Linked DNA regions of Stegostoma tigrinum. The protein of the gene in region 2 purifies or fractionates together with the protein of the main gene of each other region. This does not show direct contact. Links are inferred from orthologs where the notes say so. Each region holds a gene or a part of one and is shown on either strand. Other genes may lie near its edges.

Evidence for each region. The genes of interacting proteins can lie anywhere in the genome.
Region 1: the proteins of cdc42bpb (region 2) and fam167aa purify together in Homo sapiens (co-immunoprecipitation; 3 studies listed by BioGRID and IntAct, counting the BioPlex papers as one, with this or other methods). This does not show direct contact. The link is inferred for Stegostoma tigrinum from reciprocal best matches to the Homo sapiens genes CDC42BPB and FAM167A.

What each region holds. Positions count from the first base shown.
Region 1 is NC_081357.1:77,765,842-77,773,900, reverse strand, and holds the start of fam167aa (protein FAM167A), read right to left. Parts: upstream 3,100-8,059; 5' UTR 2,535-3,099; intron 1-2,534.
Region 2 is NC_081363.1:39,356,275-39,363,326, forward strand, and holds the start of cdc42bpb (serine/threonine-protein kinase MRCK beta), read right to left. Parts: upstream 3,099-7,052; 5' UTR 2,474-3,098; coding exon 2,299-2,473; intron 1-2,298. UniProt on the Homo sapiens protein: Serine/threonine-protein kinase which is an important downstream effector of CDC42 and plays a role in the regulation of cytoskeleton reorganization and cell migration. Regulates actin cytoskeletal reorganization via phosphorylation of PPP1R12C and MYL9/MLC2.

The sequences.
Region 1 (8,059 bases), on a different chromosome or scaffold from region 2:
AAAGCCTGGTGAACTAGGCAGAAACTCAGCAGATTAAATCTAACAATGAATAAGTTTTCAAGAAGATGTCGCTTGGGTTGTGGATGAGGTTGCAGACATGCTCGCTGAGCCGGTGGGTTTGGTTCCAAACATTTCGTCACTCTGCAAGGTAACATCATCAGTGTGCCTCTGATAAAGTGTCAGTGTTTCGTCCTGCTTATTACGTGCCTCAGTTTGTTTGGGTGTTTAGTACCACTTCCAGTTCTGTTTCTCAGTGGTTTGTATACAGGGTCTAATTCAGTGCATTTGTTGATGGAGTTCCAGTTTGAATACCAGGCCTCTAGGAATTCCCTGGCATGTCTCAGTTTGTCTTGTACAATTATGGAAGTTTGTCCCAGTCAAATTTGTGTTCCTTGCTGTCCATGTGTCGTGAGACAAGTGAGAATTGGCTGTGCTTCTTGGTGGCTTGTTGGTGTAACTTTCTTCTGGTTTGACCTACGTAGTGTTTCCTCACAGTCCTTCCATGGCATTTTGTATATTACACCGCTTTTGCCAGTTTTGGTAATGGGATAATTTATGTTTGTCAGCAGCTGTTGTAGGGTAGTTGTAGGTTTGTGGGCTACTCTGATACCTAGGGTTCTGAGTAGTCTTGTGGCCATCTCTGAAACGTCCTTGATGTACAGGAGGGTGATTAGTCAGTCTGATCATGTTGTGTCGTCCTGCTGTCATCTGTCGTCGGCAGTTAAGAGTCAACCACGTTGCTGTGGGTCTGAAATCACATGTAGACCAGACCAGGTGAGGATGGCAGTTCCTTCCTTAAAGGACATTAGCGAACCAGATGGGTTTTTCTGACAATCAGCGACAGAGTCACGGTCATCATTAGATTCTTAATTCCAAATATTTTATTGTATTCAAATTCCACCATCTGCAGTGGCAGGATTTTACTCTGGGATCCCCAGAATGTTATCTGGGTCTCTGGATTAACAGTCCAGAGATAATTGCACTAGTCAAACAGGGACATGCCAGGGAATTCCTGCAGGCCTGGTATTCCAACGAGAACACCATCAACAAACACCTTGAATTAGACCCTGTGTACGAACCACTGAGAAACTGACCTGTAAGTGGTACCAAACACCCAAAAAAACTGAGGCTATAAATAACAAGTGGGACATAACACTGATGGTTCACCAGAGGCACACTAACTATGAGGGGGTGATGAAACATTTGCAACCAAACCCACTGGCTTGGCGAGCATGTCTTAACAAAGTGAAATTTGAAATGACACATTTTAATAGAAAAAAATTAGAAAAAGCAATACAAAATAAGCAACAGAATTCAGTGGATACTGAAACAGCAACAGCTTTTGCTACGATGTTTTTAAGATAGCAGGATAGATTGAAAAGTGGCTAAAAGGCACACAGGATCCTGGGCTTTATAAATTGGCAGATAGAGTATAAAAGCAAACAAATTATTATGAATCCTGATGAAATGCTGGTTTGGCTTCAACTGTGATCAATTCTAGTACAGAACTTTAGCAAGTGTTTGAAGGCTTTAAGGTACAAGTATTATTCCAGAGATAAGGAACTTCAGTTGCAATTACCTGAATGGATTGGGGAAGCTGGTGTTCTCCTGAGTGGAGAAGGTGAGGGATTTGCTAAAGGCATTTAAGATCATGACGGATCAGGCCAGATTAGGCAGAGCACATGTATTTCCACTCGCAGAAAATCAAGAACCTTAGGACACTATTTTAAGACGAATAGCAAATCAAGGGTGGTGCGAGAAATACTACCTGGTGAGTGGTTAATGCATTTTCTTAGTGTGGTGGAGACAGATTCAATTGTGACTTTCAAACGGGAGTTTAATAAGTGCCTGAAGTGAACATCCTTGCAGGGCTACAGGGTATAACAATGGAGAGATGGGTCTGGCTTAGTTATTCTTGCAGAAAGCTGGAACGGACTCTGCGGGATGAATGGCTTCCTTCCGTAGTGTAACCATTTTGTAGGGTCATAACGTCCCAATCCTAAGGTACAGAATATTCTGGTCTAAACTTATAAGAGGTCTGCCTGACTAGTTTACTCCTCAAATATTTCATCAAAATGACTAGTTTCCCATTCTGAATCTGAAGATTTTTTCCCCAGAGTCTGCTTCTCTGCAGACGATCTATATTTTATACTTTAAATATAAAGAATATTTTGAACATTTGACAATTCGAAGTTATTAGACTCTGTTGAATCTATAATTGAGTCAATGACGGGGTTCATTTCCTTATCGTTGCAATAAATACTCTACAGAGGGGAATCCTTTGTGGTTGGCCCCAGATGGCGCACATAAAAAAAACAGATTCCGGGAAGGGGGCTTAATGGGTTAAGTGCTACCCCGCCAATCCACTTCGTTTCACCTTCTCTAACGTTCGGCACCATTTCTTCAGGTAGATACAAAAGCAATCAAAAAACAAACCCGCTTTCCCCTTACAACGGGGCGTCTGTTTTGATGAACCAGTAAATATAATCGAATGTAAACCTCTGTTCACGTAGCAAGGTAGAATGTTTGCTCACCTATATTTACCGAAACACGGACCGATGAATTACCACACGCTGCCGATCAGTCCTGTTCATGTTGTCCGTGCTGCAGGTTTCTACACTGAGCTCTGTCTATCATCTACCTGCAGTCAGCACCGTGGTTTCATCAGAATGCAAGCCGCACGTCCCGCGGGCTTGGGTGAGGGCGTGGTGGTTTGTTGGAGAAGCTGGGATATCTGCGTCAGGAATGTTGCCAGGAGAACGCAAAAGGTATTTTGCAGCCAGTTGTTCCTCCCCGTTCCTTGTCTGTGATGCAGACTTGTTTCTGTGCCTCCCCTACTCTTTGCTACCGACAGGGAATGGAACACCGGTTCTTTGGCTGGGTCCTAATGCCGTCGAATATTTACACTTCAAACTATTCACTGAAATTGCCGACACAAAGAGGGATTCGTACAAAACGCCAAGTATTTGTAAAGTATTGTTCCACTGCTTAATTGTAAAACAAGCTCATAAATTGTCAGATAATAAAATGTGAGGCTGGACGAACACAGCAGGCCAAGCAGCATCTCAGGAGCACAAAAGCTGACGTTTCGGGCCTAGACCCTTCATCAGAGAGGGGGATGGGGGGAGGGAACTGGAATAAATAGGGAGAGAGGGGGAGGCGGACCGAAGATGGAGAGTAAAGAAGATAGGTGGAGAGGGTGTAGGTGGGGAGGTAGGGAGGGGATAGGTCAGTCCAGGGAAGACGGACAGGTCAAGGAGGTGGGATGAGGTTAGTAGGTAGCTGGGGGTGCGGCGTGGGGTGGGAGGAAGGGATGGGTGAGAGGAAGAACCGGTTAGGGAGGCAGAGACAGGTTGGACTGGTTTTGGGATGCAGTGGGTGGGGGGGAAGAGCTGGGCTGGTTGTGTGGTGCAGTGGGGGGAGGGGATGAACTGGGCTGGTTGAGGGATGCAGTGGGGGAAGGGGAGATTTTGAAACTGGTGAAGTCCACATTGATACCATATGGCTGCAGGGTTCCCAGGCGGAATATGAGTTGCTGTTCCTGCAACCTTCGGGTGGCATCATGGTGGCAGTGCAGGAGGCCCATGATGGACATGTCATCAAGAGAATGGGAGGGGGAGTGGAAATGGTTTGCGACTGGGAGGTGCAGTTGTTTGTTGCGAACTGAGCGGAGGTGTTCTGCAAAGCGGTCCCCAAGCCTCCGCTTGGTTTCCCCAATGTAGAGAAAGCCGCACCGGGTACAGTGGATGCAGTATACCACATTGGCAGATGTGCAGGTGAACCTCTGCTTAATGTGGAATGTCATCTTGGGGCCTGGGATGGGGGTGAGGGAGGAGGTGTGGGGACAAGTGTAGCATTTCCTGCGGTTGCAGGGGAAGGTGCCGGGTGTGGTGGGGTTGGAGGGCAGTGTGGAGCGAACAAGGGAGTCACGGAGAGAGTGGTCTCTCCGGAAAGCAGACAGGGGTGGGGATGGAAAAATGTCTTGGGTGGTGGGGTCGGATTGTAAATGGCGGAAGTGTCGGAGGATAATGCGTTGTATCCGGAGGTTGGTAGGGTGGTGTGTGAGAACGAGGGGGATCCTCTTGGGGCGGTTGTGGCGGGGGCGGGGTGTGAGGGATGTGTCGCGGGAAATGCGGGAGACGCGGTCAAGGGCGTTCTCAATCACCGTGGGGGGGAAGTTGCGGTCCTTAAAGAACTTGGACATCTGGGATGTGCGGGAGTGGAATGTCTTATCGTGGGAGCAGATGCGGCGGAGGCGGAGGAATTGGGAATAGGGGATGGAATTTTTGCAGGAGGGTGGGTGGGAGGAGGTGTATTCTAGGTAGCTGTGGGAGTCGGTGGGCTTGTAATGGACATCAGTTACAAGCTGGTTGCCTGAGATGGAGACTGAGAGGTCCAGGAAGGTGAGGGATGTGCTGGAGATGGCCCAGGTGAACTGAAGGTTGGGGTGGAAGGTGTTGGTGAAGTGGATGAACTGTTCGAGCTCCTCTGGGGAGCAAGAGGCGGCGCCGATACAGTCATCAATGTACCGGAGGAAGAGGTGGGGTTTGGGGCCTGTGTAGGTGCGGAAGATGGACTGTTCCACGTAACCTACAAAGAGGCAGGCATAGCTGGGGCCCATGCGGGTGCCCATGGCCACCCCCTTAGTCTGTAGGAAGTGGGAGGAGTCAAAAGAGAAGTTGTTGAGTGTGAGGACGAGTTCCGCTAGGCGGATGAGAGTGTCGGTGGAGGGGGCCTGGTCGGGCCTGCGGGACAGGAAGAAGCGGAGGGCCTTGAGGCCATCTCCATGCGGAATGCAGGTGTACAGGGACTGGACGTCCATGGTGAATATGAGGTGTTGGGGGCCAGGGAATTGGAAGTCCTGGAGGAGGTGGAGGGCGTGGGTGGTGTCACGGACATAGGTGGGGAGTTCCTGGACCAAAGGGGAGAAAATGGAGTCCAGATAGGTGGAGATGAGTTCGGTGGGGCAGGAGCAGGCTGAGACGATGGGTCGACCAGGGCAGGCAGGTTTGTGGATTTTGGGAAGGAGATAGAAACGGGCCGTGCGGGGTTGGGGAACAATGAGGTTGGAGGCTGTGGGTGGGAGGTCCCCTGAGGTGATGAGGTCATGAATGGTGTTGGAGATGATGGTTTGGTGCTCGGGTGTGGGGTCATGATCGAGGAGGCGGTAGGAGGTGGTGTCGGAGAGTTGGCGTCTGGCCTCGGCGATGTAGAGGTCAGTACGCCATACTACCACTGCGCCACCCTTGTCTGCGGGTTTGATGGTGAGGTTGGGGTTGGAGCGGAGGGAGCGGAGGGCTGCCCGTTCTGCGGGGGAGAGGTTGGAGTGGGAGAGAGGGGTGGAGAGGTTGAGGCGGTTGATGTCTCGACGGCAGTTGGAGATGAAGAGGTCGAGGGAGGGTAGGAGGCCTGGGGGTGGTGTCCAGGAGGAGGACTTGTGTTGGAAGCGGGTGAAGGGGTCAGTGGAAGGAGGGTTGGGTTCCCGGTTGAAGAAGTAGGCATGCAGGCGAAGACGCAGAACGGGCAGCCCTCCGCTCCCTCCGCTCCAACCCCAACCTCACCATCAAACCCGCAGACAAGGGTGGCGCAGTGGTAGTATGGCGTACTGACCTCTACATCGCCGAGGCCAGACGCCAACTCTCCGACACCACCTCCTACCGCCTCCTCGATCATGACCCCACACCCGAGCACCAAACCATCATCTCCAACACCATTCATGACCTCATCACCTCAGGGGACCTCCCACCCACAGCCTCCAACCTCATTGTTCCCCAACCCCGCACGGCCCGTTTCTATCTCCTTCCCAAAATCCACAAACCTGCCTGCCCTGGTCGACCCATCGTCTCAGCCTGCTCCTGCCCCACCGAACTCATCTCCACCTATCTGGACTCCATTTTCTCCCCTTTGGTCCAGGAACTCCCCACCTATGTCCGTGACACCACCCACGCCCTCCACCTCCTCCAGGACTTCCAATTCCCTGGCCCCCAACACCTCATATTCACCATGGACGTCCAGTCCCTGTACACCTGCATTCCGCATGGAGATGGCCTCAAGGCCCTCCGCTTCTTCCTGTCCCGCAGGCCCGACCAGGCCCCCTCCACCGACACTCTCATCCGCCTAGCGGAACTCGTCCTCACACTCAACAACTTCTCTTTTGACTCCTCCCACTTCCTACAGACTAAGGGGGTGGCCATGGGCACCCGCATGGGCCCCAGCTATGCCTGCCTCTTTGTAGGTTACGTGGAACAGTCCATCTTCCGCACCTACACAGGCCCCAAACCCCACCTCTTCCTCCGGTACATTGATGACTGTATCGGCGCCGCCTCTTGCTCCCCAGAGGAGCTCGAACAGTTCATCCACTTCACCAACACCTTCCACCCCAACCTTCAGTTCACCTGGGCCATCTCCAGCACATCCCTCACCTTCCTGGACCTCTCAGTCTCCATCTCAGGCAACCAGCTTGTAACTGATGTCCATTACAAGCCCACCGACTCCCACAGCTACCTAGAATACACCTCCTCCCACCCACCCTCCTGCAAAAATTCCATCCCCTATTCCCAATTCCTCCGCCTCCGCCGCATCTGCTCCCACGATAAGACATTCCACTCCCGCACATCCCAGATGTCCAAGTTCTTTAAGGACCGCAACTTCCCCCCCACGGTGATTGAGAACGCCCTTGACCGCGTCTCCCGCATTTCCCGCGACACATCCCTCACACCCCGCCCCCGCCACAACCGCCCCAAGAGGATCCCCCTCGTTCTCACACACCACCCTACCAACCTCCGGATACAACGCATTATCCTCCGACACTTCCGCCATTTACAATCCGACCCCACCACCCAAGACATTTTTCCATCCCCACCCCTGTCTGCTTTCCGGAGAGACCACTCTCTCCGTGACTCCCTTGTTCGCTCCACACTGCCCTCCAACCCCACCACACCCGGCACCTTCCCCTGCAACCGCAGGAAATGCTACACTTGTCCCCACACCTCCTCCCTCACCCCCATCCCAGGCCCCAAGATGACATTCCACATTAAGCAGAGGTTCACCTGCACATCTGCCAATGTGGTATACTGCATCCACTGTACCCGGTGCGGCTTTCTCTACATTGGGGAAACCAAGCGGAGTCTTGGGGACCGCTTTGCAGAACACCTCCGCTCAGTTCGCAACAAACAACTGCACCTCCCAGTCGCAAACCATTTCCACTCCCCCTCCCATTCTCTTGATGACATGTCCATCATGGGCCTCCTGCACTGCCACCATGATGCCACCCGAAGGTTGCAGGAACAGCAACTCATATTCCGCCTGGGAACCCTGCAGCCATATGGTATCAATGTGGACTTCACCAGTTTCAAAATCTCCCCTTCCCCCACTGCATCCCTCAACCAGCCCAGTTCATCCCCTCCCCCCACTGCACCACACAACCAGCCCAGCTCTTCCCCCCCACCCACTGCATCCCAAAACCAGTCCAACCTGTCTCTGCCTCCCTAACCGGTTCTTCCTCTCACCCATCCCTTCCTCCCACCCCAAGCCGCACCCCCAGCTACCTACTAACCTCATCCCACCTCCTTGACCTGTCCGTCTTCCCTGGACTGACCTATCCCCTCCCTACCTCCCCACCTACACCCTCTCCACCTATCTTCTTTACTCTCCATCTTCGGTCCGCCTCCCCCTCTCTCCCTATTTATTCCAGTTCCCTCCCCCCATCCCCCTCTCTGATGAAGGGTCTAGGCCCGAAACGTCAGCTTTTGTGCTCCTGAGATGCTGCTTGGCCTGCTGTGTTCGTCCACCCTCACATTTTATTATCTTGGAATCTCCAGCATCTGCAGTTCCCATTATCTCTCATAAATTGTCAGTTTTTTGAAGTGTTCTTAATCGAAATTTACTAATTTAGCTCCTAAAATTTCCTATGGCCTCGTATTTTTACGTTTCAGAACGGCACCACTCCGCTATTAAACCGTACAAATTTTGTGTTCGATTCCACACAGACTCCTGTTCACTTACTAACCTCTTCGCTCCTTCTCCAGCTCTATACAATCCTTGGACTCCTTTTCTAAAC
Region 2 (7,052 bases):
GTCCAGGCCCGAAACGTCAGTTTTTGTGCTCCTGAGATGCTGCTTGGCCTGCTGTGTTCATCCAGCCTCACATTTTATTATCTTGGAATTCTCCAGCATCTGCAGTTGCCATTATCTCTGATTCATTAATGTTCTTCAGGGAAGAAATTCTGCTATCCTCACCTGGTCTGGCAGATGTGTGACTCTCAGCTGCCCTCTGAAATGACTTAGTAAGCCAGCTGTATCAATCACTACAAAACTACTCATGGTCCATACTATAACATTTCATACCAAATGAAATGAAAAAAATTCAAAAATCACATTCACTCCTCATAAATCAGTGTATACAGTTACATAAAATAAAACAAAGAACTGCAGGTGCTGGAGGTATGAAAGTGCTGGGAATACTCAGCAGGACTGCCAGTCACTGGGCTCAAAATGTTAACTCTGTTTTCTTCCAGATGCTGCCAAACCCACTGAGTTCTGCCATCAATTTCTGATTCTCTTGTATAAAATTATGTTTTGACAAATTCTCATCCCTATAAAACAACTGACAAATGATGTATTTCATGCACACAATCAAGTAGGAACCCCCCAAAAGACAGACTTTGAAAAGGTCCATAAAGAGGCATGTAGTCAGATACGAGGCTTGTCCCAACATTGTTTTGTCAGTGAGTTATAAATGAAAGGGTAAGACCCTTTCTGCAGTCCCTGCAAGATTTTGTACAAGTACCTGTAAAAGGTATTCAGATAGGATTGGTGAGATCATTCTAGCTTTTTGTCTAAATTTGCTTTTTGACAAAAAAACTTATTCTATTAAGTAGTAATGTTTTATGCTCAAGCACATACAAATGTTCAATTTTAGTTGGTTCATACTCCTTTGATTTATTTTATAAAAAGGCATAAATACTCAAAAGTCTAGTTTTTAAAAAGGTGCAGCTTGGAGTCTGGTAGATTTTGTAGTTGTAAACAATATAAACAAATATTTTAAATAATTAAGACATGGTGAGAGGGGGCTATTTTGGCACAGTGATTGTGCCCCTACCCCAGGGAACAAAGGCCTGGGCTCCCACCTGCTCCAGAATATGTCATAACATGTCTAAATTGGTTGACTGAAAGAGGTGGCGAAGGTTCCTTACAAGCAAAACAATCTGCATGATTAATTAATAACATAGGAAAACAGATAAAGCACAAGGAAAAAAAAAGTCCAGAAATTAAGTATTATGTACCAAAACTGTTGTCACTGTCAAAATCTTGACTACCTTCAAGTTCAATAAAATCTCATACTGTAAATACATTGGAAAATTCGTGGACTTCTCAGAGATCACATCCCTATGACGACTAAAATACAAAGTTTCATTCACAATAAAAAATTAACTGATTCACACATGCACACACACACAGTGTATTTCGGATTATTGAAATTTAAAACTGTTCAGAAATTCTTCATTGAACATAGTCCAGTTACGTTAAAGCAGTGTGCACGAAATTAGCAGCATAGATTGCAATAAGACTCCAAACAATCATATATTGCTAGCACCACCCAATGATGTCAGATATCAAATACTATAGATACCTTCCTAGAAAAGGAACTGTGCAAGCTGCCAATCTGTTACCTTTTACCATGTGCCTCTTTTTAAGCTTTGTTAAAAGTGAACTTCAACAGATGCAATGGCTCACCATTCAGTTGTGAATTTTATTAATGACAAAGTAGACTGGGAATTGAGTCCTCTTAGCTTGTGAGCATAAGAGTGGTTATTTAATTATCAACTATTACCACTTCCCTGCAAACATATCATGCATGATCAAATATCTATAAGTTACATAATAAAATTTATTAGCTGTAGAGACGTGCGTCTTTTATTCCAATCACATGCTCACTTACTGACAGGATCGTGAAACCTGCATACAATGAAGTACTCGTAAATAAAAGGTCAAACAGACTGCAACAGCAGCAATGGACTAAACTGGTACTAACCCTTTTAGGTTATAAAAAAGCTATTCAGAAAGTGAAGCAGATGTGTGCCTGAACATGTGGAATCATTAAAACGTATTTTATTTGTCTCCTTTTTAAAAAGCTTTTTTTAAGACGTATTCAAAACATACAAACAAAACATTAAAATCGGAGTTATTCATTTAGAATTTTGATTAAACCCTACACATTCATTGTAACTGTTCATCTTTTGATTTTAAGGAGCAATATCAGCGAGATTTCGCTCAGCCAGTTCCACAGAAGTAAACAAACAGCTGTTTCTTGAATCTAGACTCAGCTCCAAGCACGATACCAATGCAAACAAGATCATTTAAGGATATGCTTACCCCATTCCAGGAATTCTGCAATGTATTTTTCCCGTCGTATAGGCGAGCTGCAACATTCGTTGTAAAGGCATATTAAAATATCCAACAAAGTCTCCACACTCATTGAACTTGCATTCATCTGAGGTCCGTTCAGGAGCAACTGCTCCAACTTCTTCAGGCGAACCTTCGCTGACATTTTATTCTCTCAAGTTTTGTTTTAACTCTCAAAATTATCGTCCTCAAACGGCGGCCGGTGAGCAGCGTCCAGTTACCCAAAAGAGATCAAAGCAGTGATTTATTTCACATTTAAAAAGGCAGGAACTGACATTTTCACGGTTTAAGTTAAAAGGGAAAAAAAACGAATACTGCGCTCAGGCCCAGCTGGTCATAATATTTTCTTCTTTATCGGCGACCACCTCCCTATAACAGAACAAGAAAGAGATCTCTCCTTCCCTCTGTAAAATCCAAGTAAAGCCTTTAGTTGAGCTGAAGCCCAGCCCCAGAAAGAGGGCTCGTCTCCTCAAGTGCGTTGTTCATCTCCCGTTTTTCCTGGCTCCGCCGAAGCTCCTGCGCGTCTTGTCGTCAGTGTGGAGCCGGCGGCGCTCATCCCGGGCTCCTACCCGGCTGTTGGCCCCGCTCTCCGGCTCGCCGCCGCTAGCCCGCTCGTATACCCGAGCTGGAGGAATATGGCCGAGAAACGGTTCGTCTCGTCTCTTACTCGGCCCGGTCACAGCTCAACCTTAAACGGCCCGGTCCGGCCCGACCACACTCACTGATCCCGACACCACAAAGCCGCCCACCGGAAACGCGGCGACGTCACCTGATTGACAGCCCCACCCCATAGCAACCGGGAGGAATCCGGAGCGCGAGTTTCAGGGCCGGGAATGGGGGAACGTATCCCTGGAGATCTGGAGATGGGAATGAGAATAAACTCCTGGATATCTGGGAATAGCAATGTATCCTCGGAGATCCAGAGCTGGGAATAAGAATAAACTGCTGTACATTTGGGAAAAACAATGTATCCTTGGAGATGCAGAGCTGAGAATGAGAATAAACTCCTGGATATCTGGGAATAGAAATGTATCCTTCGAGATCCGGAGCTGGGAATAAAAATAAACTCTAGGATACCTAGGAATAGGAATGTATCCTTGGAGATCCAGAGCTGGGAATGAGAATAACTTCTGGGGTCCTGGCAAAATGAATGTATCCTTGGAGATCCGCAGCTGGAAATGAGAATAACTCCTGGATATCTGGGAATAAAAATGTTTCCTTGGAGATCCAGATCTGGGAGTGAAAATAACTCTTGGATATCAGGGAATAGGAATGTATTTTTGGAGATCCGAAGCTGGGAAAGAAAATAAACTCCTGGAGATCCGGGAACAGGATTTTTTTTCTGGAGATTTAAAGCTAGGAATAAAAATGTCACCGAAGATTTGGAGATGTGTAACTGGGGAACTGGGAATGTGTGAGAGAGACCCGGAGCTGGAAATTGCTTCGGGAGATCTTGGACAAGGAAAGTGTCCCTGGAAACCTAAGAATGGAAAACACAAACAGAAGTTGCTGGAAAAGCTCAGCAAGTCGGGCAGCATACGTGGAAAGAAATTAGAGTTAATCTTTCGACACCACTGACCCTTCCTCGGAATGAGAATATATAGCCGGAGATCAGGGTATGTGTCCCGAGCTGGGCATGTGAATATGCCCCTGGAAATCCGGGAATGTGAATGTCTCCCTGGAGATCCGAGAATAGGATTGTGTTCTGGCGATCCAGAGCAGGGAATTCTCTAGGAAGATCTAGGACCGGGAATGTGTCTCTGGAGATTTACGAATGAAAATGGAAATATGTCCCTGGAATCTGAGAATGGGAATGTGTCCGGGATATCGGAAAATGGGAAGGTGTCTTGGAACCGGGAATAACAATGTCTCCCTGAAGATCCGGAGCCGGGGATGAGAATGTGCCCCGGGATATGTGGGAATAGGATCAGGAATATGTCCCGGGAGATCCGGAGCCAGGAATGGGACGGGTTCACGGGCGATCTGGGGACGCAAATAGGAATGTGACCCTGGAGATCCAGGAATGGGAGTGTCCCGTGAGATCCGGGAATGGAAATATGCGCCGAGAGATCCGGGAATAGGGCTGGGAATGTGTCCGGGAGATCCAGAGCCGAGAATGGGAATGCTTCACGGGGTTTTGGGGCCGCGAGTGGGAATATGTCCAGAAATGGGAGTGTCCCGGGACATCCGGGCTGAGAATGAGATTGTGCCATGGGAGGCCTGGGAATAGGATGTGTCCCGGAAGATCCGGGGCCGGGAATATTTTCTGAGAGATGGAGCGCTTCAGTCTCTGGAGTGATTACTGCACGTTGAGGACAAGGAAACAACGCTCGACAAATACGAACTTGCCTGTTCCGAAATGAGTGTACTTTGCTTTTCTGCCCCGCCCTCAGTATCTGCGCGGAATTATCCAAATACCTGTAATTTAGGAAAATCGCTTCCTTCTTTAAATGTTTACGCCTATATAAAGTCATCAACTTCAAATGTTAACTGTTGCTCTCTCTATCGATACTCTCTAATGTGTAGAGTATTCCCAGCATTATGACTGTAAATTATAAACACGATACATCCTAATAAATGTATGTGATCTAGAGCCATTACTCAGTTCTTACAGTAATTACAACATTGTTCATCGAAACACATTTTCTTGGAAACATGCACCTGAGGCTCTGTGCTAAACCTCCTTGTCTGAAAGGATAAACAGTTTGCTACAAATCTATTCCTTCATTAATCTCTAGAAAGGGAATAGTGGCAAATTGGATCCAAGGTTAGAACAGTGGTTTGAAGTGAATGGTCAGAGCATGTGTTTTGACTAGAATGCTGATTTCAGTGGAGCTCCACTAGTACTTGGTCTTTGGCTTTTCAGGTGACAGTGAGTAAGAGAGCTGTGACATGGAAGCTATCAACGGACTGGTCAAGTGAATAGAAACATGGCAAATTAAACAAATCCAAAGTGTGAGCTCTTGCATTAATAAAAGGGAAGCGTAGATGATTACCTTCCAATCACAGTCTCCTCTCAAAATTTCTAATATTAGAACACCTCCTCCCAACTACTGTCCTTGTTCCCAAGGATTCCAAGATATTTTCTCCTGCCACTTGTAGCTCCTGTTGCTTATTGGTCCAAACATCCACTTAGCCACTAAATTTAAAACAATGAAAGAGCTGCGGATGCTGTAAATCAGAAACAGAAACAGAAATTGCTGGAAAACTTTAACAGAAATCTGAGGAAGGATCACTCAACCCGAAACGTGAGCTCTGATTTCTCTCCACAGATGCTGCCAGAGCAGCTGAGCTTTTCCAGCAATTTCTGTTTTTGTAATCATTTAGCAAGCTGCTGGGCAGGGAACAACAGAAAAATGTCAACAAGATAATTGCTTAGCAGGTCTGGTAGGATCTGTGAAGTGAAATCAGAGGTAATGTTTTGGGTTGAGTGACCCTTCAGAAATCTGAGGAAGGGTCACTTGACCTGAAACATGAACACTGATTTCTCTCCACAGTTGCTGCCAGAGCTGCTGAGCTTTTCCTGCAGTTTTTGTAACCATTTAGCCAACTGCCAGGTAGGGAACAACAGAAAAATGTTAACAAGATAATTGGCATGCTTGCCTTCATTACTCAGTCCTTTGAGTATAAGAGTTGGGAAGTCATGTGGTATTTGCGTAGGACATTGGTGAGGCATCTTCTGGAGTCTTGTGCCCAGTTCAGGTCACCCAGTTATATGAAGGATAATATTAGGCCGAGAGGATTCAGAAGAGATATACCAGGATATTGCTGGGTTTGGATGGTTTGAGTTATGAAGAAAGGCTGGATAGGCTGGGCCTTTATTAGTTGAAGTGCAGAAGGAGGTTGAGAGGTGACCTTACAGAAGTCAATAAAATAATGAGGGGTATAAATAGAGTCAGTTTCAAGACTAGCGGGCACACTTTTAAAGGTGAGAGGAGAGACATTTAAAAAATACTTAAGGGGCAATTTTTTTACATAGAGGATAGTTCGCTTGTGGAATGAACCTCTTGAAGAAGTAGTGAATGTGGGTACGATTGCAACATTTAAAAGACATTTGAATAAGTACGTGAGTAAGAAAGGTTTGGAGAGATGTGAGCCAGGAACAGGCAGGTGGAACTAGTTTAGCTTGGGATTATGTTCAGCATGAACTGGTTGGACAAAATTGTCTGTTTCCATGCTGAATGACTCTGTGACTCTTGAAGTTCAACCAGATATGGGGTCTTCAGCTTTACCTGTCAATCAGTACATATTTCCAGCTAAATTGTCCCAGTTCATGACTTTGCTTATACTATCAAGCCATACTAATATTTAAACCAATACTTACAAATCATGTGCACTAATACATTGTGTCATGGGAAGATGGTGAAATTATTTACTAATTATTTACTAAACAAAATCAACCACAGAAATTCATTTCACTCATCCCTTGCACCCTACTAATGTCAACCACAAAACATACATACATCATGCCATTTTATAATTCCATGAGGTTTGGTCCAGAAGGAATTTGAGGAAGTGGTATGAGATGTATGTGTTAAAATTTCTGACTATACAAAAGATATGCAGGAAAGTAAACTGTGTATAGGACACAGGAAGGTTACAGAAAGCTACTGATAGGTTAAGTGAGTGGACAAAGATATGGTAAATGGAGTATAATGTGGGAGATTGTGATAATGTCCATTTTGATAGGAGGAAAAAAAAACATTTGATTTAAATGATGAGAG